Coturnix japonica: one gene and its partners. The protein of the gene in region 1 interacts with the protein of each later gene in a pairwise test. Links are inferred from orthologs where the notes say so. Each region holds a gene or a part of one and is shown in the gene's direction. Other genes may lie near its edges. The genes, in order: TOP1, BTBD1 and BTBD2.

Region 1 (3,594 bases):
TTGGAAAAATAAATGGGAGAATGCAACTGCAGCAAATGAAATCTAAAAAATAGATCTTTTGAAAAGCTTTGTGCCATTCCTGATAGGAGCCCTTGCTTTTTATAAGCTGTAAAGGAAATAATTTAATCAAGAACAAACTTGCCCTGGTGGGTATTTTATCCTCTTTTGGCCCTAAGTCAATCCTAAAGTAAAAAACATGGCTGAGAAGATGACAATCTCATGACTGAAGGAAACAAACTGTGCTGTGGGAGCAAATAACTGGACAATGGATTAGTTCCATAAAAGCCTGTTGAAAGAAAAAAAGTCTTCGATTCAGGGGTTAGAATTTAAGTTCTTCTCATGAAATCATTTTTGTAAGGAATTTTTTTCCTGGATTGGAAAGATGCGTGTCCTACAAGTATGGAGGAAATCTTTGTTCCTTGTGAATTCATGCCCTCTTTTTGCCATGGCTTGAATGTATTATAATACTGATGAATGAGTGATATTGCCTTTACATTTGATGCATGCTTAATTACGCAGCTGAAAGTATGTGTTATCTGAGTAAAGCGGAGGAAGCCGTTTATATATTGAGAAGCATGGAAGACATAATGTCTCTGGTGTCTTTATAGTTGCTTCCGTACAAGCGTTTAATATCCTGGAAATCTGAATTGCTTACAGCTGCCTGGCAGCACAGTTTGGAGCTGAGCTGCTTTAGCAGTGAAATGTCAGTGTTTTTGTACAGTGAAACTATTCGCTCCTCATACTTGTAATGCCATGAGAAGCAGATTGGAATCGGTTCTCTGCCTGCTTTCTGATGCTGACTGTATTTCAATTTCTCAGGGTGAGAAGGACTGGCAAAAGTATGAGACAGCCCGGAGGTTGAAGAAGTGCGTAGATAAAATCCGAAATCAATACAGAGAAGATTGGAAATCCAAAGAGATGAAAGTACGGCAGAGAGCTGTGGCTCTGTACTTCATTGATAAAGTAAGTCTCGCCCCCAGCACACCGCTACCCCTCCTGCCCTGTTGGGGATACTCAGGACCGCTGTGTGTCTGTTCCTAAGGCAGAATTGTGCCCAGTTACTAAGGTATCCTGAGACTTCCTGGTGCTCAGGCCTCCATCTCCTTTTCCTTTCCCATTACCTTGAAATCAAGAGCAATGAACTATTGTACTGACCATGGTTATTTCAGGCAGCATTGTTTTAGCTCAGGCAAAATTCACAGCTGGGTCCCAGAATCTCTCCCAGTTGAATTACTGGGAGCTTTGCAGACCTTTTGTCTCCAGCTGTTTCAGTTTTTTCCTGCTGGGAATTTCTGCTACTTTGTCAACTCTTCAGCTGACCTCATAGTCATGAGGTTTCATAATTATGCTAAATTTCTCACCATAGCATAAAGAAAACTGAAGTGATATTGAATCACTTGGTGCTATTTAAAGCCTGCTCTCATAGAGCTGTTGCCTGCTACTACACGATATTTTGACCAGCCAAATTAACGGTTCCTGTTCAAAATAGTTTGATGCAAATCAGGGAACTTTTGTTTGAATAATTGTGTTTTCATAGGACTATTTAAGGTTTTTCTTAAACAATCAGAAATTGGATTAGCTGGGACAGCTAAAATACATTTTAATGCAGCCAATTGTAGCCTTTAACTTTAATAACCTAAAGTATCATATATGTTGTTTGAAGTTTGTTTCTTTAGCATGCAGGAAAAAGGTAGAAGATGTATAACCATCCTTTACTGGAATGGTTTGAAATGCTTCCCTCTCCTCTCTTGTCTTGTTATAAATGTAGCTTGCTCTGAGAGCTGGTAATGAAAAGGAAGAAGGTGAGACAGCTGACACCGTGGGCTGCTGCTCTCTCAGAGTAGAACATATCAAGCTGCATCCTGAGCTGGATGGCCAGGAATACGTGGTTGAGTTTGACTTCCTCGGAAAAGACTCCATCCGATACTACAACAAAGTCCCTGTTGAGAAGAGGGTAAGATATCTCCTCAAACATGAGCACAGACTGAAGCACAGGGAAATGTGCTCAGTGCACAGTCTTATTGGCAATAAAAGGGTGCTTTGTCCTTGGTCAGATACAGCGAGCCAGAAAACAAATCAATGAACGTTCTTCCCTTCTTACTGGTAGCACCTTTGTTTGGTACCTACCAGCCAAAACCTTCCTGGGCAGTGTTTCTTCCTTTATTTCTTTGTTCTCTACCAGTTTCACATCTGTTGTGATCTTGGCCTTATTCCAGAGTAAATCCCCATCCAGCAGTTTGAGCTGTCCAGAAAGACGCTGGTTTTGTAGATGTAATCAAACCTTGCATCTGGCCCACACCTCTGCAGTCAGCACAGTCTGTTGGATAACACACATACAGTACTAGATTAATTGTAATGACTAACTGCATTAAGTATTGACCTCTTGGCAAAAAAAAAAAGGGGGGGGGGAGAAAAATAACTACAAACTATGGCTGCTACAGAAATCAGCATATGCTAGAGTTCTTACTCCTTTGTTTAAAGAAGAGAACATTTTTCAGTTTAAATGTACTCATGTTGGTCTCCCTTCATGTCTCTTCTTCAGAAATTACAATAGGGAACTGATTATTGTGGAACTAGAAATCTCTCAGTATAAGGCATCTATAGAGGAAAAATGTGTGTTGATGAGAAGCTGGAAACTGGGGATTTGGAGTACACCGAGCTGGGATTAGTAGTCTCTGTATAATCAAAAAGGCTTCAATTATTTTCCCATCCCAATGAGACTTGTTTAAGATGGAATTGGATGAAGCATCTATTGCTGCAGTGCAAAGGGATGGGATGGGGTTTTGGTAGCTTTATTCTGTGGGAAATGTCTCAGAGTTCTCTCAGGCTGGAATAATTATTGAGAGAAAGGGGAGCAGGTGGTAGCATTGAGGTCTCCTCGGTTCGGCAACTAAGCAGAGCAGAATCAAGTCTCCTGCAATCTGGATCAAAAGGAAAAAGGACAAAGAGCATTAAATGCCCAGGACTCCTGTTGCTGGGGCAGAACTTTAAACACAAGCATTGTCTTAAGAGAATCATCTTTGCCTATTGGAAGTTGTGCCCAGCGTTGTCACTGTTGCCTGAGAACAGGTTAAATGGCATCTCAACAGTGTTACTTTCTCACATATTACTGCTGTCCAGCAATGTTCAGTCCTGATGCCTTAAGGTGTGGGTTTTCTTCTCTTACAGGTTTTTAAGAATCTTCAGCTGTTCATGGAGAACAAGCAGCCTGAGGATGACCTTTTTGACCGCCTCAATGTAAGCACATGGTTATCTGGGAGGGAATGGTGGTAGAGGACCATAAACAGGCTCACTCTGCACTAGGCAATAACAGCTGCTCTGCTCCAAAAATGGTTTCAGTGGCAGGTTGTCTGTTGCTTTTTTTTTCCCAGAGATGGCCTCAGAGACCTGAGGGAGAGTCTCAGTCTGTTGTCTGTATTGCTCACTTTGGCTGCAGGTTCCTGAAGTGATGGGCTTTTACAATGGAGAGCTTGGCTGGCTCTGACTTGGATAGGTTTTTTCACAGTTTGGAAAAGATGACTGTGAGTTGACAGACTTTGAGAAGCCATCCCTAACACGTTTGGCTCTGTGGGAGCACTGTGGTGATATAAGCAC
Region 2 (4,374 bases), on another chromosome or scaffold:
CAAACCAACCTGTGAACGATCATTGAAAGACAGGAGAAAGATAACAACGAAGAGAACTCATTAATGCCCAGGTCATCCCTTGACTGAAACAAAACGACTCCCAGACAGTAATGCACCCATCCACATTGTCACCATTTCCCTCGTGCTTTTTTTCCCCAGTTCCCATGACAACTGATTCATTGAATTTCATAAAAGCTGGCACTTTCCTCCCCTACAAAGAGCTCTCAAGCTGGTCGCTTCAGGTTCCTCTGAATGTTATATGGCACCGAAGCAGCAAGCTGCAGAACATCTCAGCTTCCAGGGTTCTCAGAGCCTCAGCTATTGGAGGGTAACTGGGCTTTGCCTCCTTTCTGCTCCTTGTCCACCTTGGGGCAAGGAAAACACAAAGGTGCTGCTTTCGTTCTTCCAAGTCAGCAGTATGACCTTACTTTTAAATATAGCCCCTGTGCTACTCGCTGCTGTACGGTCGGTATACTATGTCTTCTCGTGCCCTTTATCCCATTTCAATCGCTTCCATCTCGCCTAAGGTTCCCTAAAACTCGTTCTGAGAAGCACACCGCATTTTCCTGGTCTCAGTTTTGTCCTAATAATAAACCTAAACGCGGAGAGGTGACATACTATATTCCTCTTTTAGCCACACGCTGACAAGTCAGGAGCTGTGCCGGATACCTCCAGCTCTGTACATTGCTGCTGTATGTACAGCAAAGCTCCAGCAGATGGCGAAAGGATCCAGCTTATGTCTCAAAGGACAGCACTGCTGGACCGAGGGTGATAAGTCTGTGATGGAAATAAACACATCCCTTCGAGCCGATTGCTTTTGTACATAAATGGCACAGCACACATACTCAAACGGCAACAATATTTTGATGTTATTCCAGAAATAAGTAGAACAGGCGTCCATGCTCGTTTTGCCGGTTCATTAGGTATTATTATAACCAATTTGCGTCCCACGTGCCTTCACAGCACAGCGTTATTCGGTCACTAACGCAGAATCACAGAATCACAGAGTGACCCGGGTTGGAAGGGACCTCAAGGATCATGGAGTTCCAACCCCCTTCCTGGCAGGGCCACCAAACATACACCTTTACTAGATCAGGTTGCTCAGGGCCCCGTCCAACCTGGCCTTGAACACCTCCAAGGACGGGGCATCCACAACCTCCCTGGGCAGCCTGTTCCAGGGCCTAACCACTCTCCTAGTGAAGAACTTCCCCCTAACATCCAACCTAAATCTTCCCTCTTTTAACTTAAAACCATTTCCCCATGTCCTGCTATTGTCAGCCCTTTCTAAGAGTTTACTCCCCTCCTGGGAGTAAGTTCCCTTCAGGTATTGAAAGGCTGCAGTGAGGTCACCCCGCAACCTTCTCTTCTCCAGGCTGAACAAACCCAACTCCCTCAGCCTGTCAACGCACCAAGTCCCATCTCCACATCCCATCCCCAGCCCCATTCTCTAGTCCCATTACACCCCCCGCTACTCCCGGCCTCCCCCGCGCCGAACATGGCCGCGCCCATCGGGCCGGAATGGCGTCATTGCGCGCCTGCGCATTGAGCTGCTGACGTCCCTTCGCGCGGCGGAGATGCCTGTGCCGCCGGTTGAGTGAGGCCCGGCCCGGCCCCTCAGGGCGGTGATGGCGGCGGCCGGTGGCGGTTCGCCCGTGGAGGCGCCTCCCGCTGCTGCCGGTGCCGCCGCCGCTTCAGCCACCACGACCGCTCCCACCGGCGCGGAGAGCGGCGCGGTGCTGCAGCGGGAGCCGCTGTACAACTGGCAGGCCACCAAGGGCTCGCTGCGGGAGCGCTTCGCCTTCCTGTTCTCCAACGAGCTGCTGAGCGACGTGCACTTCGTGGTGGGCAAGGGCGGCCCGCGAGGCGGCGGAGCCGGGGCGGCGCCTCCGGGACCCGGCCAGCAGCGCATCCCCGCGCACCGCTTCGTGCTGGCGGCCGGCAGCGCCGTGTTCGACGCGATGTTTAACGGCGGCATGGCCACCACTTCGGCCGAGATCGAGCTGCCCGACGTGGAGCCCGCCGCCTTCCTGGCGCTGCTCAGGTCAGGCCCGGGGCGAGGGGGCGGTGCGGGGGTGGGGACGGCAGTGTGCGCTGCTCGGCCGGGGCAAGGGCACGGCGTCCTGCTGCGTCCTGCTGCTGCTACGGCCTGCGCGCCCTGCCGCGACTGCAGCGGCCTCGTTCCGGGACGGCCGCTCGGGGAGTAAAGTCTTGGAAAGGGCTGACAATAGCAGGACACGGGGAAATGGTTTTAAGTTAAAAGAGGGAAGATTTAGGTTGGATGTTAGGGGGAAGTTCTTCACTAGGAGAGTGGTCAGGCCCTGGAACAGGCTGCCCAGGGAGGTTGTGGATGCCCCGTCCNGGGCCCTGGGCAACCTGATCTAGTAAAGGTGTATGTTTGGTGGCCCTGCCAGGCAGGGGGGTTGGAACTCCATGATCCTTGAGGTCCCTTCCAACCCGGGTCATTCTGTGATACTGTGTTGCCCTGTCGGGCTGTTTGGTTGTGTGTTTTCTGCAAGACGATGGGATTTAGTGGCTCGGCAATCTCTGTTGGCACTGCCCGTCCACCCAACGGCGCCAGGAAGGAACTGAAGCTGTTGTACTGAGCTTTTCGTTTCATTTGATAGTTTACTTTGAAGGTTTACTCGTAGAATCATAGAATATCCCAAGTTGGAAGGAACGCAAATGACAATCACCACATCCCACTCTTGGCTCCATGCAGGACCATCACTCCTCTTACAATGAGCTTTTTATCTTTCAGAGGCAGAGCAAATTGTGTTTACCATCATAACCAAATAGTTACCATCCCTTTTGCAGTCACACGTTTCAGATAGCTTTGGCTGGAGAGAACATGCAGCAGAACACAGTTATCTGATGTGATGCACAAGTCACATAAGTGAGAGCAGGAGTGCGGTGATGGGGAAGTGTGCAAAGTGGGTACTGGTTTCTGATTTGACCACAGAAGGGTTTGTTACAAACCTGTCTGCACTTTAGTTTTACCCAGTGTGGTGGTAAATGGTCACAGAGACAATTCCTGATACTTTCTCTGTGCGTCAGGTTTATTGCTGACCTGTGGTCAGACAACTCGTCTGCTCAATGATATCTTTTTGCTAGGCAAAACTTGTATAAAATGCATTAAACAGATTTCTGTAATGAACATTTAGAAATCAAGCACTATTATTGCCTGGAAAGAAATGTGTAATGTCTCTAAACTTCTAGTACTGCAGAAAAAAAGTAGCTTTCTTTTTGGTTTGAGGTGAGAACTGTGAGAAGAATAACACGGTGCTTTAGTAATTGTGGAAACAAGGTTTGCAGCAACTGGTTTTGCTTTAAGGAAAGCCACAGTGTGGTGAGTTCGTTGCTTATTAGCAAACAAACTGTATTTTCTGCTATCTTAGCAAAGAGGGAATGGCAGACTTTAAGGTGAGGGGCTGGTGCTGAGTAGTGGGAAGTTGTCTTCCAAGCAGAAATGATTTCAGTAGTTAAAAGTAAGTCACTGTGACATGTATGTGTGTGTATGTGTAAAAGCCACCAGACAGTGAGAAGTTATAATGAGAGGTGCTTGTTTTGACTGCATACAGAAGCACAGAAGCAGGAGAGTTATGAGTAAGGCTAAGAAGTAGAAGTGAGCGTAGAGTTGCTGTTAGAAGCAAACAAAAGCCACCTTGTGTTTGTAGGGCTGGTAATGGCCAGGGGACTTTTGTAAGTACGTTGATTATACTTGTATCGTGTCTAAACATCACCAGACTGATCAACTGCTGGGGTGGCTCCGGTTTGATGTTGTCTTTGCTATGGAATGCTTAGCAGCTTTTTTGAATGAACTTAAGTATTTTATAGTGCTCCCTCTCTAGACTCAGGCCTTGATACATGTGCAACAAGCTAATATTGGAGTAAATATAAATTGTAACACCTTGTTAGAAACATACTTGAGATCTTCTTTAACACAAACTAGTACGGGACTTCTGTGCCCCTATACACTGTTCTTAGTGTATAACAACTGTAAGACAAGCTGTTTGTTATTTCCTTGGTGTTGGCCACTGCTGACCTTGTATCTGTCATAAAGAAGTTGCTCAAATAGTGATGAGTGCTTTTTGTAGGGCACTCCTTTAATCTTTGCAGAGACCGTTTTGAAGTATAATTGCTTGGGACTGAGTTGGATCTTTGTATATTCATGGCAGGGAACATCAAGATAAAAGAAACATTAAAGTAATGAAGTAATGCAAAAACTGTTGGAGATAATTTACTAGTAGTTAAAAACTGAACAATTTGAACACCTTTGCCAAGCTATTTTGACAGTGTTTCAGTTTTTCTTGTGGACATATTTATTCACTATTTTAAGTTGGCTGCAGCAGTTGCTCCCTTTTCTGACAGGAGAAG
Region 3 (4,359 bases), on another chromosome or scaffold:
TCTGATGTTTGCAGCTAAACACAAGGAGGACAGAGCGAAAAAACACAGCTTTGAGTGAAAAAACCAACGCTGAAATGCATGGAAAGCAGCTCCGCCAGCAAAAGGGGTGTAAGGCTGCGACGTGATGCAAGGAGAAGGTGTTTGTGTGTCCATGTTCAGTGCTCGGTTATCAGTCATAGCAGGAAGATTTCAGAGGTAAAGCAGCTTCCCTCTCGAGGCTGCCGTGCATTCCTGCATGCAGAAGGGTCAGTTAATGGCCGGCTCTGGGCACTAGCATAGCTGTGGGTAATGGGAGTTCCCCCCAATTAGGATAATGCAGCAGAAACCTGCCGGGTGTGCACTGCAGCAAAGCCGTCCATCCACACCGGTGTGTTGCAGCCACAGAGATCGATCCCATGAGGTCCCTCAGCTGTGCAGGGTTTCAAAGCTCCGACCCTATACCAGGTACAGCTCCGTGTGGCAGCAGAGGGGCAGGCAGTGCACTGCTGCAGTGGAGGGATGCACCAGCACTGTGTGTTTGCTTCCCACCCCTCCCCTATCTCCCCCTGTGCCCTCAAATCTGCCCCTTTCCCCTCACATCTGCCCCTCAGACCCCTCAGATCTGCCCCAGACCCCAGAACTGCCCCTCAGAGCCACTTATCTCCCTCACAACCTCCCATTCTCCCTTCACAACTGCCCACCCCTCCCCTATCTACCCCTTTCCCCTCACATCTACCCCTTTTATTCAAATCTGCCCCTTTTACCTCAATTCTGCCCCTCACACCCCTCACAACTGCCCACCCCCCCCTATCTGCCCCTATGCCCTCAAATCTGCCCCTTTTACCTCAAATCTACCCCTTTTACCTCAAATCTACCCCTCACACCCCTCACAACTGCCCACCCCTCCCCTATCTGCCCCTTTCCCCTCAAATCTACCCCTTTTACCTCAAATCTACCCTTTTCCCCTCAAATCTGCCCCTTTTACCTCAAATCTACCTCTTTTACCTCAAATCTGCCCCTCACACCCCTCACAACTGCCCACCCCTCCCCTATCTGCCCCTTTCCCCTCAAATCTACCCCTTTTACCTCAAATCTACCCCTTTTACCTCAAATCTACCCCTTTTACCTCAAATCTACCTCTTTTACCTCAAATCTGCCCCTCATACCCCTCACAACTGCCCACCCCTCCCCTATCTGCCCCTGTGCCCTCAAATCTACCCATTTTACCTCAAATCTACCCCTTTCACCTCAAATCTGCCCCTTTTACCTCAAATCTACCTCTTTTACCTCAAATCTACCCCTTTCCCCTCACATCTACCCCTTTTACCTCAAATCTGCCCCTTTTACCTCAAATCTACACCTATGCCCTCAAATCTACCTCTTTTACCTCAAATCTGCCCCTTTTACCTCACATCTGCCCCTTTCCCCCTCACATCTGCCCCCCCCTCCCCTCAGAACCGCCCCCTCCCCTCACTCCCCCGCCTTCGCCCCGCCCCTCCCCTCACCCCTTTCCCCCTCCTCCCTTCCCCTCCATGCCGCGGTGCTGCCCCGCTCTGTTCCTCTCCCCCCGTCCCACCGCCGCCCCCATCCCCTCCATCCCTTCCTCTATCTCCTTCTCCCCGTTCCATCCCGCCGCCGTGTCCCGCCCGCCTCTTGTGGTGCTGCTGCTCCTGCAGCGCCGCCCCGCGCCGAGCCGCGCTCCGCACAAGATGGCGGCCGGCGGGAGCGGCCCCGGGGGTCTGTCCTCATCCTGCCCTCAACCCCCACCGCCTCCCCCGGGGAACGGAGCGGCCTGTGCCGCCTCAGCCGCTTCCGAAGGAACCCCAGCATCTCCAACGGGACTCACCTATAACCAGTGCGGAGCCAACAACCCTACGGCGACGGCTGGAGGAGGAGGAGGAGGAGGCCTGGGAGTGGGGGCGGCCCCTCCGGGCGGAGGGCTGCAAAGAGAACCGGTGTATAATTGGCAGGCGACTAAACCGACGGTGCAGGAACGATTCGCTTTTCTCTTCAATAACGAGGTGCTGAGCGACGTGCATTTCCTGGTGGGGAAAGGCCGAGGGACGCAGCGCATCCCGGCACACAGGTGGGGAGAGCAGGCCTGAGGGGGGGGAGAGCCGTGGGGAGGCCTTAAAGGGGATGTATATCGGGGATATAGGGGGGTGGAGGCCTTAAAGGGGATTATAGGGATATACGGGGGTGAGCCCTTAAAGGGATGTATAGGGGATATAGGGGGTGGGAGGCCTTAAAGGGATGTATAGGGGATATAGGGGGGATATGGGGGGGTGGGAGGCCTTAAAGGGGATGTATAGGGGATATAGGGGGGTGGGAGGCCTTAAAGGGGATGTATAGGGGATAATAGGGGGGCATATGGCGGGGGCTGTGGAAGGCCCTTAAACCGGGGAATTGCTAATAAGGGGATAATAGGGGGTGGGAGGCCTTAAAGGGGATGTATAGGGGATATAAGGGGGTGGGAGGCCTTAAAGGGGATGTATAGGGGATATAGGGGGATATGGGGGGCTGTGTTTGGGTTGTGGAGGTGAGAGCCGAGTGTAGGCCCTGGGGGGTGCATAGAGGGAGTGGGGTGTGGAGAGAGCCGGGTTTAGGGTGTGTAGGTATAGGGAGAGCCGTGGGTAGGCCCTAAGGGGGATGTAGGGAGATGGGGAGGGCAATGGGATGGGTTTAGGTTGTGGAGGTGTAGGTGAGGTGGGGAGGGCCACATTTAGGGTCTGAAGGTGAGGGAAGAGCCATGTGTAGGGTATGATGGTGAGGGCAGGACTGTGGGTAGGTTATGGGATGATGAGGAGGGCCCTAAGGGGAGAGCTGTGTTTAGGGGCTGAAGGTAAAGGGAAGGACGTGGATTGCTGGGGGTGGAGAGGGGAGAGCCTGGTTTAGGTTGTGAAGGTGAGGGCCATGTGTAAGCCCTTGGGTTGGGGGCATAGAGGGGATGGGGAGGGCTGTGGGTGTGGGGAGTGGGATGTGGGGATATCCATGTTTGGGGTCTGGAGGTGAGGGGAGAGCCTTGAATAGGCCCTAGAGGAGGTATGGGGGGAACGGAGGGGAGAAATGGGGAAAGTCATGGTTAGAGTGTGAAGGTGAGGGGAGAGCTGTATGTAGGGCCCAGAATGGGGTGGGGGAGCGGGATGGGTTGGGATGTGGGAAGAGCCATGTATGGGGGCACTCAGCCCATAGATGAGAACAGCCCCAAAGTGAAACACTCCTTAATTGCTCTGTGATCCCTGGGCGGTGAAGGTAGAACAGAGCGTGCCATGCCATGACATCCCACACAGGGACTGCATAGAGCTTAATGACACACGTGTCGCTCTGTTCCTGTGTCAGGATGGGTATTTTGGGGTTTCCAGGATGGGTATTTTGGGGTTTCTCTGCAGCTGTGGGGTGGTTGTGGCTCTGCAGTGTTCTGTTGTTGGTGTTACCGTGGTGCTGTGGGCACAGAGCTGAGCTGGGTGCTCCTTAGCAAGGGGAAGGAGATGCCACATAGAGAGGGGTTTTCTTACCTCGTGTCCCTCTCGTGCTGTAAGGAAACTGAAAAATCTCTGATCTTGCAGAGTTTGGAGCACTGTTGTGTCTTTCCCATTTGGGTTCAGCAATGTGAAACAAACCGGACCGGCCTTTCCATGAGTGGAATGGGAGTAGAGATTGGAGAGCTTCTTTCATGCAAACACCCCTTTCAGATCACTCTGCTCTGTGTTGCCTATGAGAATGGCAAACTTAGAGTGCAATTAGTTGATGTTAATTGTTAGTAGGAAGTAGAGCCTGCAACTGTCTCACCATCGTCGCAGAATGTGCCTCTTGTGCTTTCCTTCCTGCCGTGCTTTGTCCCCAGCTCTCCTTCCCAACACAAGCAATGCTGCCTGGCACAGCACTGCACCCGTGGGAGCCTTGTGCATGGGGGACAGAGCAGCAAGGGACCAAGCAAGAAACTGGATGGAAACCGAGGAGGAATAAAAAAGCTGCTGTGTCACTTCCTACCGCAGTAAACTCCAACCAGAGCTCCCTGGTGGCAATGGACTTCCTGGGAGCCCGAGAGCCGGAGCGTTGTGCCTCGTGCCTTCCGTCACGTACCGCCTTCTACCTCTCTCCATCGAAGCGTGCACCCAGCTCTGCTGCACTGGGAGCTGCCGTGCTTCCCAGCTTCTTCCTTTCCATAATGGGTCAGGGAATTAGTTGGAGTCTTTGCTTCCCCACTGCTGGTGGCTGCTCAGTGCCTTGGCTTCAGGGAACAGCTGAGCACATCCACCAGGACCCAAGTGCTTCCCTGGGGAAGCCCAGCTCTGCCTTCCCAGCAGTTCTCAGAGGTGCTTGGCAGTGGTTTCAATAACAGCAGCCCAGCTCTGTGCCTGCCCCTGGAGCAGGAGCTGG

The links.
Region 2: the proteins of TOP1 (region 1) and BTBD1 interact in a two-hybrid assay, tested with the Homo sapiens proteins (2 studies listed by BioGRID). The link is inferred for Coturnix japonica from reciprocal best matches to the Homo sapiens genes TOP1 and BTBD1.
Region 3: the proteins of TOP1 (region 1) and BTBD2 interact in a two-hybrid assay, tested with the Homo sapiens proteins (2 studies listed by BioGRID). The link is inferred for Coturnix japonica from reciprocal best matches to the Homo sapiens genes TOP1 and BTBD2.

The regions. Positions count from the first base shown.
Region 1 is NC_029535.1:4,186,813-4,190,406, forward strand, and holds part of TOP1 (DNA topoisomerase 1), read left to right. Parts: intron 1-819; coding exon 820-963; intron 964-1,768; coding exon 1,769-1,954; intron 1,955-3,168; coding exon 3,169-3,237; intron 3,238-3,594. UniProt on the Homo sapiens protein: Releases the supercoiling and torsional tension of DNA introduced during the DNA replication and transcription by transiently cleaving and rejoining one strand of the DNA duplex.
Region 2 is NC_029525.1:9,963,276-9,967,649, reverse strand, and holds the start of BTBD1 (BTB/POZ domain-containing protein 1), read left to right. Parts: upstream 1-1,545; 5' UTR 1,546-1,625; coding exon 1,626-2,041; intron 2,042-4,374.
Region 3 is NC_029543.1:1,317,055-1,321,413, forward strand, and holds the start of BTBD2 (BTB/POZ domain-containing protein 2), read left to right. Parts: upstream 1-1,500; 5' UTR 1,501-1,511; coding exon 1,512-2,065; intron 2,066-4,359.